3 linked regions of the Canis lupus familiaris genome follow. The protein of the gene in region 2 interacts with the protein of the main gene of each other region in a biochemical or structural test. Links are inferred from orthologs where the notes say so. Each region holds a gene or a part of one and is shown on either strand. Other genes may lie near its edges. The genes, in order: CDH1, JUP and CTNNA1.

Region 1 (4,982 bases), on a different chromosome or scaffold from region 2:
AACTAGAAATGAAACTAAAGAGATTCAAAGTAGATCCAATTTGTTTTCACTAATGAGTCTTCTTGCCCCTGCATCCCACTGCTGGTTGGGAAGTGATAGTAAGTGTGTATCACAGGTCTACCTAAGGCCCAGGAAAATGGCATCAATTTGTAGATGTCAGAAATACATTCAGCTATAAACTCTCAAAGCTTTTAAACAGATAGGAGTAGATTAACCCCATGAATCCTTGTTCCCATGCTTGTTGCCACATAATCACAAGATGCCTGCTACACTTTCAGGCTTTGGGTCTGTATTCTAGTCAAGAAGGAGTAGGAAGGGCGGAGCAGAGGCCAAAGAATCTTTGTTCTAAAAAAAAAGAAGAAGAAGAAGAAGAAGAATCTTTGTTCTAGCAAAGTGTTAATGCAAGTAGGGAATTCATCCCATATGTTACTGGCCAGAACTGTCACAAGATTGTCCTTATCTGCAAGGGAGAATGAGAAATAAGGCATTAAGTTAATTAGCTTAGGGTAAGATGAGGACAAATTAGGGGTCAAGATGAGCAAAGAACCAAGTAAGATAATAGTCCAGCAGGATCTATTTCCTTAAACAATGTTCCCTGATCACTTGCACAGTTACTGAATGATTTTTAGGCCTTGTCTGGATGGTCCAGTGGCTCTCAGTGAGTCTTCCTGGTAGAGGCTGGTTTTGCTTTAGTTTCCTATGGTAGTTGTCACCAGGGACTACACAAAGCACACCAGTGTTGGAAGTGACCAGGCCACATTGATTTTAGCCACTGGATCTTCTAGAAAGCTGGGATTAGAAAGGTCCAGTTAAAACCTTCCTCTTAGGGGATCCCTGGGTGGCGCAGCGGTTTGGCGCCTGCCTTTGGCCCAGGGCGCGATCCTGGAGACCCGGGATCGAGTCCCACGTTGGGCTCCCAGTGCATGGAGCCTGCTTCTCCCTCTGCCTGTGTCTCTGCCTGTGTGTGTGTGTGTGTGTGTGTGTGTGTGTGTGTGTGTGTGACTATCATAAATAGATAGATAGATAGATAGATAGATAGATAGATAGATAGATAGATAGATTTAAAAAAAAAGAACTTCCTCTTAGGGGATCCTTGGGTGGCTCAGCAGTTTAGCGCCTGCCTTCAGCCCAGGGTGTGGTCCTGGAGTCTCGGGATCAAGTCCCACATCGGACTCCCTGCGTGGAGCCTGCTTCTCCTTCTGTCTGTGTCTCTGCCTCCCTCTCTCTCTCTGTCTCTCATGAATACATAAATAAAATCTTTTAAAAAAACAAAACAAAGCAAAAAACCTCCCTCTTAGGTAAATCTGAATTCAGGTCCTTTCCTCCATTCACATTCATTTGTGTATCGTCACATCTGATAGTAGCTTTTTTTTTTTTTTAACTTATAATATTAATGTCATTACATTACTTACAAAATAATGTTATAATAATTTTATTATGAATAAATATATAATAAATTTGTAAAATGTACATAAAGAAAAAAAATGCAATCCTTCCTTACTGCCTCCAACTCTATTCTCTAGAGTTAACCATTAACAGTTTGGCATTCATCTTTCCAGACCTTTCCAGGTGGCGATGCTGTATGGACCAGTATGACTATCCTCATTGTTTTCAGCCTCTGTCAATCCCGACTGGCTTGTTTCTCTCCTGCCTACATATAATTTATCATTAGTTTAGGGGAAACATTCTGCGTATTTACCCATAATGTTTTCTTTTCATCAAACAACATATTGTTTATCCTCCTTGCCAGTTTGTATAAATTTACCTTATTGGTGCGGATTGCTCCCTGTGTTCTCTAGGATGGTTGTTGCGTTATTGTGCATTACATGCTGCTGCTTGAGGCACCTAGAGAAGGCATCTTGCCTGACAGGTGTGTGATTCCTTTCATTAAAGGATCCTACTATCTTCTTTCTTCTTTAGAACCTGAAGGCAGCGGACACTGACCCTACTGCTCCTCCTTATGACTCTCTGCTCGTGTTTGACTATGAAGGAAGCGGTTCTGAAGCTGCTAGTCTGAGCTCCTTGAACTCCTCAGAGTCAGACCAAGACCAGGACTATGACTACCTGAATGAATGGGGCAATCGCTTCAAGAAGCTGGCGGACATGTATGGAGGTGGCGAGGACGACTAGGGGACTTGAGACAAATGAAGATGAGTCCTTATACCATGTGGTAGAAAATGCGGAGGTGACTGTTTTCAGCTCCCTTCATCTGAGAGGAATTTCTGGAGAAGAGAAAATGCACAGTGATATATAGTTAGGATAGTTAGGATTTCTACTTTATAGATCTAATCTGTGTGTTTGTTAGAACGATTTTGACCTATTCTTTGAAGCTTTTTTTTCTTTCTTTCATCATTCTTTAAATGGTGATGCTGTCCAAAAGACCCCCCACATGTTTATATTTCAAAAGAATAGCTAAAGCCTCCAGAAGGTTCTGCTAGCAATTTGCAGATTGCCTTATTGACTTGTCTCATTTTTTTAAAGGAAGGTAGGGCTAAACTACCCTATTGTGTTTGTGTGTGTGTGTGTGTATGTGTAATTATTTTTAATTTGTGTTCTTTTTTCTCCTATCACTGCACTGGTGTCCCGTGTTCTAATAACCACTCTTAACTCCTTCTGAACTTACATTGCCTCAGACAGGAGTTCTCTGCTGCAGAAATTATTGGGCCCTTTCAGGATAAGAGACTTGGTCTTAGTTTGATGGTAGTGTGACTGGGTATTATGGACTCGTAAGGACTTTAGTGGTTCTCCTTTTTTATTTCCTAAGTACATAAATTGAAATTCATATCCATCCACTGACTTGTTCTGCATTAAGTGTGTTTGTCATGTGGACGTCATTATTGGGCTACTTTGGTTCTGAACAAGGAGCATTGACCAGAAAAGGTGGTGAATTTTCAGGTGCCACTCAACTTCTAATGTTCACTTATCACTCAAACAGAAGAGTGATCTATTCTGACGTTTAGCGTAGTGCCTGCAGTGCTGCAGCCAAAGATTGAAGGCGGATTGTCAAAGCCAAGGGCAACATGAAAAATGGACTTGGAGGTGGCAGGCGGGATGGGTCATTGAGCCTGGCGTTTTAGCAAACTGATGCTGAGGATAACTGAGGTGGCTCTACCTCTAGTCCTGAAAATTCTGAAGAATGGAAGAATCCCGACAAGTGTGTCCTATCGCGATCCTTAGGTCACAGTTTGTACCTGAGGCCAAGAATCCCCAGGTGCCTGCTTTTGTTAATGTCTACCGAAAATGCAGCCTGATCTGGACTCAGGTGCCCCAATTCTAAGTGTGCATAGAAAACTGACAATATTAGGAAATTCTTTTTCCCCCCTTAGGAGCAGGAAGAAAATATGACCCTAAAGGGTTTTGGCAAAGGGAAGGTGGGGAGAGCTTTGACTTGGATTTTTTTTAAATTGAAATGTGAACTTCAAGGAACTTTTGACAACCATGGGAAATAATTTTATCTTAAATTGCTTTACTGTCTGTCAGCTGTTTTTCAAAGAAAAAAAAAATCATCCCTGCAATCACTTCTTGGAATTGTCTTGATTTTTCAGCAATTTAAACTCTAATTTAGTCCTGTATAGAGAATGTTAATGTAGTTTTGAGTGTATATGTGTGTGGGTACGGATAATTTTGTATTTTCTTTAGGTCTGGAAAAGGAAAACAATTTAAGCTGCGAAAATTCTTAAATATTCATTTTTATAAATTTTATTAAAGAATTTTGTTAAACCATTGTCAAACACTTGTTTTATATGATTATACTACAATTCTAGGCAAGACCAGTGATAGTTGAGCTCATTCAAAACATGGGGAAGGAAACTTCATATTGAAATGACTCCTCCAGAACTTTGTGTCCTTTTATTGTGGGCAGAATGCAGGAAACTGCATTTAAAAGGTCACTTTATTTGAAAAATAACTATCCATGTGGTATATGGAGAAACCATTAAAATTCTCTTATTATTGGAAAAATTGTGGGTGACACTGAGGGACCAAAAAAAGTTGAGCTTCAGACAGTATTCAGTGGGTCAGCCAAATTGGTGTAGTTCAGGGGTCCACCGTCAAAAATGACCCTAGCCTCTCCCCAGGGGACATTGGGCAATTTCTGGAGATACTTTGATTGTTGCGACTGAGGAGGTGCTACTGGCATCAAGTCCAGGCCAGGGATGCTGCTAAACATCCGACAACAAAGGACCACCACGCTCAAGATGTCAGTAGTGCTGCTAAGAAAACCTGTTCTGTGACTTGACTTTGTTGGAGGGGTATAATATTGTTTGTGTGTGTGTGTGTGTGTGTGTGTGTGTGTGTGTGTGTGTAATTTTTAAATGGGGGTGAAATATATATATATAGATCTTACTTGACTTACAATGTGGTTATATCCCAATAAACCATCATAAGTTAAGAATATTTCAAGGGCAGCCCAGGTGGCTCAGCGGTTTAGTGCCTGCCTTTGGGATCGAGTCCCACATCAGGCTCCCTGCATGGAGCCTGCTTCTCCCTCTGCCTGTGTCTCTGCCTCTCTCTCTCTCTCTCTCTCTCTCTCTCATATAAATAAATAAAATATTAAAAAAAGAATATTTCAAAAATGCATTTAATATGCCTAATCCACCAGACATGATAACCTAATCCACTTTTTTTTTTTTTTTTAAGATTTTATTTGAGAGAGAAAGCACAAGTTGTGGGGAGGGGCAGGTAGAGAGGGGAAGGATGTGGGGCTTGATTTTGGGATCATGACCTGAGCCACCCAGGCACCCCTAGCCTAATCCACTTTCAATGTGCTCAGAACAATTACCTACAGTTGAGTGAAAGCATCTCACACAAAACCTGTTTTGTAATAGTGTTGAATAGCTCCGACAGTGAGAAACAGAATGGTTGTAAGTGTATCAATTGTTTACCTTCCAGATCACAGGACTGACAAGCTGTGGCTGCCACTGCCCAGCATCATGAGGGAGTCTGACCATATTTTGCTAGCCCAGGAAAAGATCAAAATTTGA
Region 2 (5,235 bases):
GACCTGGGTTGTCTGCTGCTACCCCAACCTGATTGTTAAGGGAGGGGCATAGGGTTGGGGTTTGGGCTCTGGAGTCAGCCTGTCTGAGTTCAGACCCCAGCTTGGGCTTCTAGGAAAACAACAACAACAACAAAACCAAACAACTCTCTGGGCTTCAGTTTCCCCATCTGTAAAATGGAGATAGTAATAGTATTTATCTTTTAGGGTTATTATGAGATTAAATGAGAAAATATAAGAAAAACGTTTAATTCACTGCTAAGCACTTTGTAAGTGGTCAAAAATTTTTAACTGTTCCCATGATAGTAATCTTCACTAACACTTTTGTAGTGATGTGTGTAGTACATCCTTTCTTTTCAGAGCAAATTACAACTATTATCTCATTTAATTCCCTATAAAAATTCCCTGTGACGGACAGAACAGGTGGTGCCCCATTTTACAGCTGACATGACGAGGTGGTGGTGACCTCCCCCGGTTAGAGGCAGAATCACAAGTGGTGCTGCTGGGGCTTTGGTCGGGGTGGGAGCCAGCCCAGAGAGCCCGGTCTACAAGGCCTGCCCTGCCCCCTGTGTCCCCCCCACCCCTGCCCATCCTGCCACTCAGTCCCTCCCCGTTGACACCCCCCCATCCAGGTGACCTGGAGTACCAAATGTCCACGACAGCCAGAGCCAAGCGGGTACGGGAGGCCATGTGTCCTGGCGTGACAGGCGAAGACAGCTCGCTGCTACTGGCCACCCAGGTGGAAGGGCAGACCACCAACCTGCAGCGGCTGGCCGAGCCGTCCCAGCTGCTCAAGTCAGCCATCGTACATCTCATCAACTACCAGGACGACGCCGAGCTGGCCACCCGGGCCCTGCCTGAACTCACCAAACTGCTCAACGACGAGGACCCGGTCCGTGGGGGGCCTGGCCAGGGTGGGGGCAGGGCAGAGAGGGGAGAGGTCAGGTGTCCGCAGGGGCCGGCCCTACGCAGGGCCCCATCAGCAGGGAGAGTCTGAGCTGGGTCCCTCTGAACTTTGTGGAGGGGGTCACTTGCCCTCCTCCCCCCATCTCACGGTGGCAGCCAGCCCGGCCCCTCTGCTCACTTTTTCCCATCCCTCCCCGTCCCCCTCAGGTGGTGGTGACCAAGGCAGCCATGATCGTGAACCAGCTGTCCAAGAAAGAGGCGTCACGGCGGGCGCTGATGGGCTCGCCCCAGCTGGTGGCAGCCGTGGTGCGTACTATGCAGAACACCAGTGACCTGGACACAGCCCGCTGCACCACCAGCATCCTGCACAACCTCTCCCACCACCGTGAGGGGCTGCTTGCCATCTTCAAGTCGGGCGGCATCCCTGCCCTGGTCCGCATGCTCAGGTACCCACCCCTACCCACTGGGGGATACCGGGGACTCCCTTCACTTGGGCCTACCCCCTCTCTTCCCTGGGCTTCCATACATCAGGTATTGAGGACCTACTGTGTGCCAGGTGCAGACCCATGCCCAGTCCTGGTGCTCAGCTACTCACAGCCTAGCAGGCGGAATAGGCATGTGACCGGCGTGTTAGTTACTAGGATACAGTATATGCTGGAGAGAGGTCTGCCCAGGATTGCTCAGAGCTCCGGGAAGCTGTGCACTCTAACAGCAGGATGATGAGTTGAGGGTTGATGGATGAGTGGGGTTTGGCCTGCGTAGATGAAGGGAAGAGTATCCCAGGCAGAGGGAACAGCAGAGATAGCCCCTTGCCCCCTGTATCTTTCCCAGCCTTGCAAGGTTCATTGGTCTTTCTCCTTCTATCCATGCCAGGCTGTGAGTTCCTTGAGGTGGGAGATACTCTGACCCCCTCACAGGACCTTTCTAGCACATGGCCTCCCATGTGGTAGTTCCTTAGTACCGACTATGCGCTCAGCCCTGGGCTAAAAGCCCAGAAGCAGGCGGAGTCATGGTCCTGGTGGGGAGAGGAGTGGTGTGTGCTGTGTGATCTGTGCCTAAGAGCGGGGCTGGGCTCAAGGGACGATGAGATTTTAGTATTTTTTTATTTTTTATTTTTTTTTAAATTTATGATAGTCACAGAGAGAGAGAGAGAGAGAGGCAGAGACATAGGCAGAGGGAGAAGCAGGCTCCATGCACCAGGAGCCCGATGTGGGATTCGATCCCGGGTCTCCAGGATCGCGCCCTGGGCTAAAGGCAGGCCCTAAACCACTGCGCCACCCAGGGATCCCATGAGATTTTAGTAAAGTGCTGTTCCCCCCCCCCCTTTTTTTTTTAAGATTTTATTTATTTATTCATGAGAGACACAGAGAGAGAGAGGCAGAGACACAGGCAGAGGGAGAAGCAGGCTCCATGCAGGGAGCCCGATGTGGGACTCGATCCCTAAAGTGCTGTTTCCATGGGGGTGTTGGTATGGGGAAGGCTTCCTGGGGGGAGGTAGCCCTCATTTATGCCAGACCTTTGGGGCCCGACTCACATCAAGCCACTGCCCACCATCCCAGCTCCCCGGTGGAGTCAGTCCTGTTTTACGCCATCACCACGCTGCACAACCTGCTGCTGTACCAGGAGGGCGCCAAGATGGCGGTGCGCCTGGCAGATGGGCTGCAGAAGATGGTGCCCCTGCTCAACAAAAACAACCCCAAGTTCCTGGCCATCACCACCGACTGCCTGCAGCTCCTGGCTTATGGCAACCAGGAGAGCAAGGTGAGCTGTGCTGCCGTGCACCCCCCCAACCACACCCCAAGGCCTTCCAGTGTATCTCCTTCTATCCAGCTGTAGCTTTGGACCACTGCCTCTTTACCCCTTTTGGTTTAAATATATGAGTATACATGGTTGTACATCTTTCATCATATAACTGAATATTCTGAGGTTGAGGAAAAGGAAAAAAGTCACTATCCTTATGCAACCACTGCTATCTCCGTGTGCTTCCTGTGGACCCGTCCTGTGGGCATGTCTGTACATGGTTGTAGTCATGGCAAATGTACAACTTTGGATCTGTTTTCTATGTATTTTTAATTTTTTTCCCATACCCTCAAAATCACCCTCTACAATGGCAGATAGCATTTCATTAAGTGGGGGCCCCAGACTTTATTCTTAGGGAGGGCATTTAGATTGCTCTCAATTGTCTACCTTTATAAACAATGCTGTCATGAGCATTTTTGGACACACAGCTTTTCCCAAAGAGTGGGAAATTTTTTCATCAGTGGGGCTAAGGGTTTTTAATATTTCTGGGCTTGTACCCAGATTGCCAAATGCTTTCCAAAAGGATCGTGTTACTTACAGTGTTGTTGGTGGTGTCTGTTAGTAGTTTCACCTCATCCTTGTCAGCATTGTTTATTATCCTTTTTTCTTTTATCTTTTAAAAAATTTTATTTATTTATCTGAGAGTGAGAGAGAGAGAACCAGCGAGATGAGGGGCAGAGGAAGAAGCAGACTCTCCATTAAGCAGGGACCCCAAGGTGGGGCTTGATCCCAGGACCCCAGGGTCATGACCCGAGCCGGAGACCGTGGCTTAACTGACTGAGCCACCCAGACATCCTTTTAAAAATTTTGGCTTTTGGGCAGCCCTGGTGGCGCGCAGCGGTTTAGCGCCGCCTGCAGCCCAGGGCGTGATCCTGGAGACCCTGGATCGAGTCCCACGTCAGGCTCTCAGTATGATGCCTGCTTCTCCCTCTGCCTGTGTCTCTGCCTCTCTCTCTCTCCCTCTCTGTCTCTATGAATAAATAAATAAAATCTTAAAAAAAAAATTTTGGCTTTTGGGGATCCCTGGGTGGCTCAGCGGTTTAGCACCTGCCTTTGGCCCAGGGCGCGATCCTGGAGACCCAGGATCGAGTTCCACATCGGGCTCCCGGTGCATGGAGCCTGCTTCTCCCTCCTCCTGTGTCTCTGCCTCTCTCTCTGTCTCTCTCTCTCTGTCTCTGTCTGTCATAAATAAATAAAATAAATAAATCTTAAAAAAAATGTTGGCTTTTTTTTTTTAAGATTTTATTTATTTATTCATGAGAGACAGAGAGAGACAGAGGCGGAGACACAGGCAGAGGGAGAAGCAGGCTCCATGCAGGGAGCCCGATGTGGGACTTGATCCTGGGTCTCCACGATCACACCCTGAGCTGAAGGGAGGTGCTTAACTGCTGAGCCACCCAGGTGTCCCAAAATTTTGGCTTTTTTAGTAGTCACAAAAGCTGTTCAGGTTTTAGCTGAAGTTTGGTAGCGACAGCTCTGTCACCTCCTCCCCTTTCCTTGTTCCTTGTCATATTTCCTGTCTATCTCACACTCATTCTCCACTGTCTCCCCCTCAGCTCATCATCTTGGCCAATGGAGGACCCCAGGCCCTTGTGCAGATCATGCGCAACTACAGCTATGAGAAGCTGCTCTGGACCACCAGCCGTGTGCTCAAGGTGCTGTCTGTGTGTCCCAGCAATAAGCCTGCCATCGTGGAGGCTGGTGAGGATGGCCTGCGAGGACAGCCCTTGTGCCCTGGAGGGGCGGGGTGGGGGTCTTGTCTGGCAGCTGGGCTTGGTGAGCCATGCTCCCCTGCCTTACACGCTCCCATCTCTCGCCCCAGGTGGGATGCAGGCCTTGGGCAAACACCTGACAAGCAACAGCCCCCGCCTTGTACAGAACTGTCTCTGGACCTTGCGCAACCTCTCGGATGTGGCCACCAAACAGGTGAGGGAGACCTTGGGGGCTGGGGTCCACCTCTTCAGCCACCTCATGCTCCCCTCTTGCCACAGGCAGTCTCCTGTCTGGGACTCTGACTTTAGGAGCCGTGGGAGGCCTGAGGCCTCTACATCTTGCCCCACTGTGACTAAGGCTGGAAATACCCTGAAATCCCTGAAATTCCTCATCCCTTTAGCTTAGGGCTCTAATGGCTGTTAAGGACTCAGGAAGGGGAACAGAGGAAGGGGCTGATATTCCTAAGCTGGGGTTCAGATGATACCAGGGGAGTAATTTTGACACAGACCCTGCAACAAGGAGCAGTAATGTACCAAGAGATGGCCTGAGGGCTCTGGTAGCTAAAAACACAGTTTAAGGAAAAATGGCAGTTTTAGGACAAGACTCCTGGTTCCACCTTCCCACCTGACTACCATTCCTAGGAGGCCCCTGCCCCCCATCAATAGGCTGTTTAATGGCCCCCGGCCACATGCTGGACTCTGCTTAGGCCCTGATGGATATTGGCTTGCTTTCCCCTTTCAACAACTAGAGATGGAAAGGGGAGCCAGTTGGTTGGGTGAAGAAACAGGGTCCCAGGGGGGTGACGTAATGGCCCTTGAT
Region 3 (5,235 bases), on a different chromosome or scaffold from region 2:
CTGGTGCTGAGGTTGACATCTTGGGGGGTTGGGCGGGCAGACACTGCGTATACAACGAGGGGACATGCTTGCAGACTCTGGAGCCCCGGCCCCTCCTGGACTCTCCTCATCTTCTCTGAAGAACAGAGGTGCTGGTGGTTCTAGTGAGCTGTGGTGTGGGCAACACAGGGCCCGACAGTGGAGTAGCGGTGCTGCACCTCCAGGGCCCAGTATGGTCCCTGGTACACAGATGCTCAGCAGAAAGGAAGGAACAGGAGGTACCTGGTCTCTTGGCAAGAATAGTTCTTGGGTCTCTGACGGGGCCAGCAGGGCTGGCACAAGAGCAGGTTCTCACAAGACAGCATGTCTCTGGGAAAGCCCCTCTGCAGGTATCTGTGACCAGGGATCTGGGATCCAAAGTGGCCAGCGGTGGGGTCGTGTGTGGCCGCCAAGTCAGAGAGACTCCGGGTCTTGCACTCATGTGTCCCCAGGGCTTGCTGGTGCCTGGCGTGACCCCCTGTCCTTACCTCACGTCACTGAGAGACAAGCTTAGTCTTGGGCAGCCCAGATGTTCCTCACACATCCTCTCACGGGAGCCCTGCAGCAAGCCCTGGGGCCCCGCCTTGGATTAGATCCTGGTACAGATAGGGGATGTGCCTCATTGCCCTTCTGTCACAGGCCGGTCCGCCAGGCCAGTAGCCAACCCCAGCTGTTCCGCCCACTGCCCATTACTAGTAACTTCCAGGAGACAACGTCAGGTTTCAAGTCAGCCACTAATCATGAGAGGCTGGAAGTTGTATGAAATAAGAATTTTTTTTTTTTTTGAAATAAGAATTTTTATTTCATAATTAAAGCTAGAGAGCTAGAACTGGAAACGGGACCTTGGAGACATACTCAGACCTTACCTGCCACGTTCTTTTCACATTGATAAAAGTAAAGCAGAAAAAAGTCCATGAAAATCCATTGCCTATTTCTTCTCTTCAAAGCATTGTCCTAAGGGAAAGCCTAATATTACTTCCTTCATTCATTTTCTTCTTGCCATCACATGGGAAGGTTCTAAGAATCTGCTTAATGTTGGATAAAATGTCTTTTCAATACAGTACGTTTCCCACCAGGATGAGCCTCACTTTTGTGTAGGGTGCAGGTGAGTCCTGACCCTCGTAGAAGCTGAAGCTCCTCGAGCCTCTGGGAAGTCCTGATGGGGGCCTAGCCTGGGACGCCTCACGTGTGTGTCAGTGAGGCGGGTCTCGAGTGAATCATGGCTGATGTTAACCTGATTGGCCCCAGCTGCTTGGAACATGGCTCATGTGAAGACCCAGAGTTCTGGGTGTTTGTACTTTGGACCCAAGGGCCTAGGGTGTTTCTGATTCGTGCTCTCCATATTGCTGGCAGACTCCCGAGGAACTGGATGACTCTGACTTTGAGACAGAAGACTTCGATGTCAGAAGTCGGACGAGTGTCCAGACAGAAGATGACCAGCTGATAGCTGGTCAGAGCGCCCGGGTAAGGAACATGTCCCTGTGCCTCCAGGAGCTTGGCTTTTTCTTTTCTGGGATCGATCACAGCGTTCCCACTTTGTCTCCCTGGCACCGGGATAGAGCTCACCCCAGGGGGTGGCACATGGCAGCCAGGAGCAGGGCGGGAGCAGGAGCAGGCCCTCGGCCTCAGCTGTGCCCTGGGGGCGTTGGCTGATGACAGGGCCCTGCGTCAGGAGAGCCCAGTGGCGGGTCAATGCCATGTTTGTTAAAAGGATTGTGACATTCAAAAAAGATGGCTATCTTTGCCCATCTCAGTGATAGCATGGTATGAGCTATTTAATTATTCATGGGTTAAAAAAAAATAACAGTGGTACATTCAAGAAAATCATTCAGAGCCATTGCATTCATTTGAGTCATTAAATCTTCAATCAATAGCATTTATGTTTTTGGGAGCATGCCAAGAAATATTTCCATGGAGCCTTTTCCAGTCCTCAGAAATCATTTTGAACAGCAAATGCAGCCTTGCTTTGGGCCCCTCTCCATCACGAGCACTTGGGGAAGCTGTGGCAGGGGGCTCACGGCCTGGAGTCTGTGGGCCTTGGGGTGGGCGCTGTGAGAGGGTTCAGAGGTGCCATGTCAGGGAGCTAAGGTGGGGCCCACCAGAGAGGGGCCCATGCACCACCCCTGGGATCGTGTCCTATCCCCCACAGCAGCAGGCAGACGAACTCACAGGGTATTAAGCGGCTTCCGTCCCTGTACAGGCCTGATCTGGAAGCCTCCATATTTGTTCTCTGTCCCTCGCACTGTGTTCTCCTCCACATGGAAACTTGTTTTTGAAAATGGGTTGGAAATTCAGGCTGCTGTGAACTTGTGCTCAAAGTGAGGAGAAATGGACCTTTAGGCAAAATGAAGCCCATTAAAGATCATCCCACCTCTGCCACAGGTTGCATCAGCTGATGTGCTGTGAGGGCTTCATACTCTCCTCACCTAAGAGCTCTTTGTGCTTCGGGTTTCAGGCGATCATGGCTCAGCTTCCCCAGGAGCAAAAAGCAAAGATTGCCGAACAGGTGGCCAGCTTCCAGGAAGAAAAAAGCAAGCTGGATGCTGAGGTGTCCAAGTGGGATGACAGCGGCAATGACATCATCGTGCTGGCCAAGCAGATGTGCATGATCATGATGGAAATGACGGACTTCACCCGGTGAGCTGCGCCGCCCCTGGGTGCCGGCCCACCCTGTGCTCCGCGGCCGGCCCCCTTCTTCCCCTTCACCGTCAGCCACACACAGTGATCTTTGCTCTCTTTTGTCAGAGGGAAAGGACCACTCAAGAACACGTCCGATGTGATCAGCGCCGCCAAGAAGATTGCGGAGGCAGGATCCAGGATGGACAAGCTCGGCCGGACCATCGCAGACCACGTGAGTGGGGGTCGCTGCAGGGCTGCCAGGTGCATCCCAAGGTGCTGACCGTCGTCCTGTTTTCCTTGGGGCATGGCGCTCCTCTCATCTCCAGACATGTGCTTGGCTTATCACCCTGCTGGGTTGGTACCCACATCGATGTGTGAGGATTTCTGAATTCCTCTTTGACAAGTCTTAGGAGCCCAGCCCAGCGTACGTTGAGAGCATGTCTATGGGGCAGGTGTGTGTATCCTGCCATCCTCCTGGGGGCTGCAGCATTGTTGTCTCCCTGTTTCCTGCACATCCTCACATACTGAACTAATCGGTCCCAAGGGGTAGAAGCCACTCTTGGCTCTGCTCTCTGCAGTCCAGGAGCAGGCACGTCTGCTGCCGTGTTTATCTTGACACCACCCAGTCTTCTCCCCGCTTCCATCACCAGCTCGGCCCAGCTCCCCACAGACCGTGCCTCGATAGCCACTCCTGTCCCCTGCTCCGTGCTGCCTCAGCTGCCAGCACGGTCTGGGTAGATGATCACCTAACACGTGGTCCCCCCAGGCCCGCAGCTCTTTCCTAGCCTCTGGACTCCAGGCCGCTCTCCCGGCCTCCTACACTCGGTGCATGAAGTGCCTCACAGGGCGGCAGTGGATACACTTGAGGGAGGTCACCCTGGAGTCCAGAGCACTTGTGCTTTGCTCCGGCAGGGAGAGCCCTGCCCAGGGTGGGGGAACCTTGGGCCTGGGGTGTGTGCTGATCCCTGCTGCTCTCCTGGCAGTGCCCGGACTCCGCCTGCAAGCAGGACCTGCTGGCCTATCTGCAGCGCATCGCACTCTACTGCCACCAGCTCAACATCTGCAGCAAGGTCAAGGCCGAGGTGCAGAACCTGGGTGGGGAGCTCGTCGTCTCTGGGGTAAGTTTGAGCCACGAGCATGGGTGCCTGGCGGGCGTGTGCTCGCATCTCTGCTGCGTAGACATCCTGCCTACCCTGATGTCAGGGACGTGTGCTGTGGAGAGACCCCAAGGGTCCTCTCGCTGGGAGGAAGTATTCTCATTTCTCTGTTGTCCTTCCCTCAAAGGGGACTTGAACCTGTTCAGAAATTACAAAGATAACATAGCTGGGCCCCCAGAGCACTCACGTGGTTCTGTTCTCTCACACTGGCTCTGGGTTCCACTGGGCCCTGCAGGGGTTTCCTTCCAAACAACTACTTTCTGTGTAGGATCCCCCTCGCCAATGCACCTCCGTCACTCAGAGACAGACCTTTCTCCAGGTTTTAAGAGCAAGTAGACTCTGGAGGGAGGGGAGGCAAGGTAATGGCGCCTTACGTTGCTTGGGTGCTGCACCCTCCTAAATATCTGGACCAGGTGTATCCCGTTTTCCCGGATAAGAACAGGGGCTGTGGGGAGAGCTGACCAGGACCGCGGCCACGGGCCCCGCGCCTTCCTCACTGCCCTGTCTGTCCCTCGCAGGTGGACAGTGCCATGTCCCTGATCCAGGCCGCCAAGAACCTGATGAATGCAGTGGTGCAGACCGTGAAGGCATCCTACGTGGCCTCTACCAAATACCAGAAATCTCAGGGCATGGCTTCCCTCAACCTACCGGCTGTGTCCTGGAAGATGAAGGCCCCCGAGAAGAAGCCCTTGGTGAAGAGGGAGAAGCAGGATGAGACACAGACCAAGATCAAACGGGCGTCACAGAAGAAGCATGTGAACCCGGTGCAGGCCCTGAGCGAGTTCAAAGCCATGGACAGCATCTAGGGCCACCGCGCCCGCCCGCCGCCTCCACCCCAGGGCTCCTGAGATCAGGCCCTGCTCCTCACTGATGTATCTGCTCAACACAACACCGTGTTAGATTCCATGGGGACATGGACAGATTTTAAACCTGGCCCGGTGGGGCATTTGGCCAGGATATACTTGTGTTTAAATTAGTCAAAAATACTTTTGGAATTCAGGAGCACATTTCTAACTATATTTTTTTTAAGCTTAAGTAAAAATTAAAGAAAAATTCCATAACCAAAGAGAAACCCACATTACCTGGTAGGGGACACTCTTGACCAAGGTCTCAGTGTGCACGATGGGTGGGGGGCCACTGGGGCCAGGTGACTGCAGGAGTTCCAAGGGGAGCCAGCCGGGTGCCTTAGAAGGAAGGGCTTGGAGGGACAGACCACATGGAGCTCAGTAAGACGTGACGCATCACCAGGAAAACTGATTACTCTCCTTATGACCCTAATAAAGTTGCTTTTTTCAGACTAGAATGTTGTGATGCCCTGATCGTAACATGCTTCTTCCCTTTCCTCAGCTTCAAATGTAAATTCATCACTGGGCTCACTTCTAATAATCGCAGTGTTTCCTGCCTCGGGCTTCGCAACACCAGCCTCACAAAATAGTGTTTG

Evidence for each region.
Region 1: the proteins of JUP (region 2) and CDH1 form a complex in vitro, tested with the Homo sapiens proteins (2 studies listed by BioGRID). The link is inferred for Canis lupus familiaris from reciprocal best matches to the Homo sapiens genes JUP and CDH1.
Region 3: the proteins of JUP (region 2) and CTNNA1 form a complex in vitro, tested with the Homo sapiens proteins (2 studies listed by BioGRID). The link is inferred for Canis lupus familiaris from reciprocal best matches to the Homo sapiens genes JUP and CTNNA1.

The regions. Positions count from the first base shown.
Region 1 is NC_049226.1:81,340,614-81,345,595, reverse strand, and holds the end of CDH1 (cadherin-1 precursor), read left to right. Parts: intron 1-1,920; coding exon 1,921-2,130; 3' UTR 2,131-3,731; downstream 3,732-4,982.
Region 2 is NC_049230.1:20,917,668-20,922,902, forward strand, and holds part of JUP (junction plakoglobin), read left to right. Parts: intron 1-629; coding exon 630-889; intron 890-1,110; coding exon 1,111-1,349; intron 1,350-2,462; coding exon 2,463-2,664; intron 2,665-4,259; coding exon 4,260-4,404; intron 4,405-4,525; coding exon 4,526-4,629; intron 4,630-5,235. UniProt on the Homo sapiens protein: Common junctional plaque protein. The membrane-associated plaques are architectural elements in an important strategic position to influence the arrangement and function of both the cytoskeleton and the cells within the tissue.
Region 3 is NC_049232.1:26,503,888-26,509,122, forward strand, and holds part of CTNNA1 (catenin alpha-1), read left to right. Parts: intron 1-1,371; coding exon 1,372-1,482; intron 1,483-2,473; coding exon 2,474-2,655; intron 2,656-2,763; coding exon 2,764-2,869; intron 2,870-3,620; coding exon 3,621-3,755; intron 3,756-4,312; coding exon 4,313-4,600; 3' UTR 4,601-5,235. UniProt on the Homo sapiens protein: Associates with the cytoplasmic domain of a variety of cadherins. The association of catenins to cadherins produces a complex which is linked to the actin filament network, and which seems to be of primary importance for cadherins cell-adhesion properties.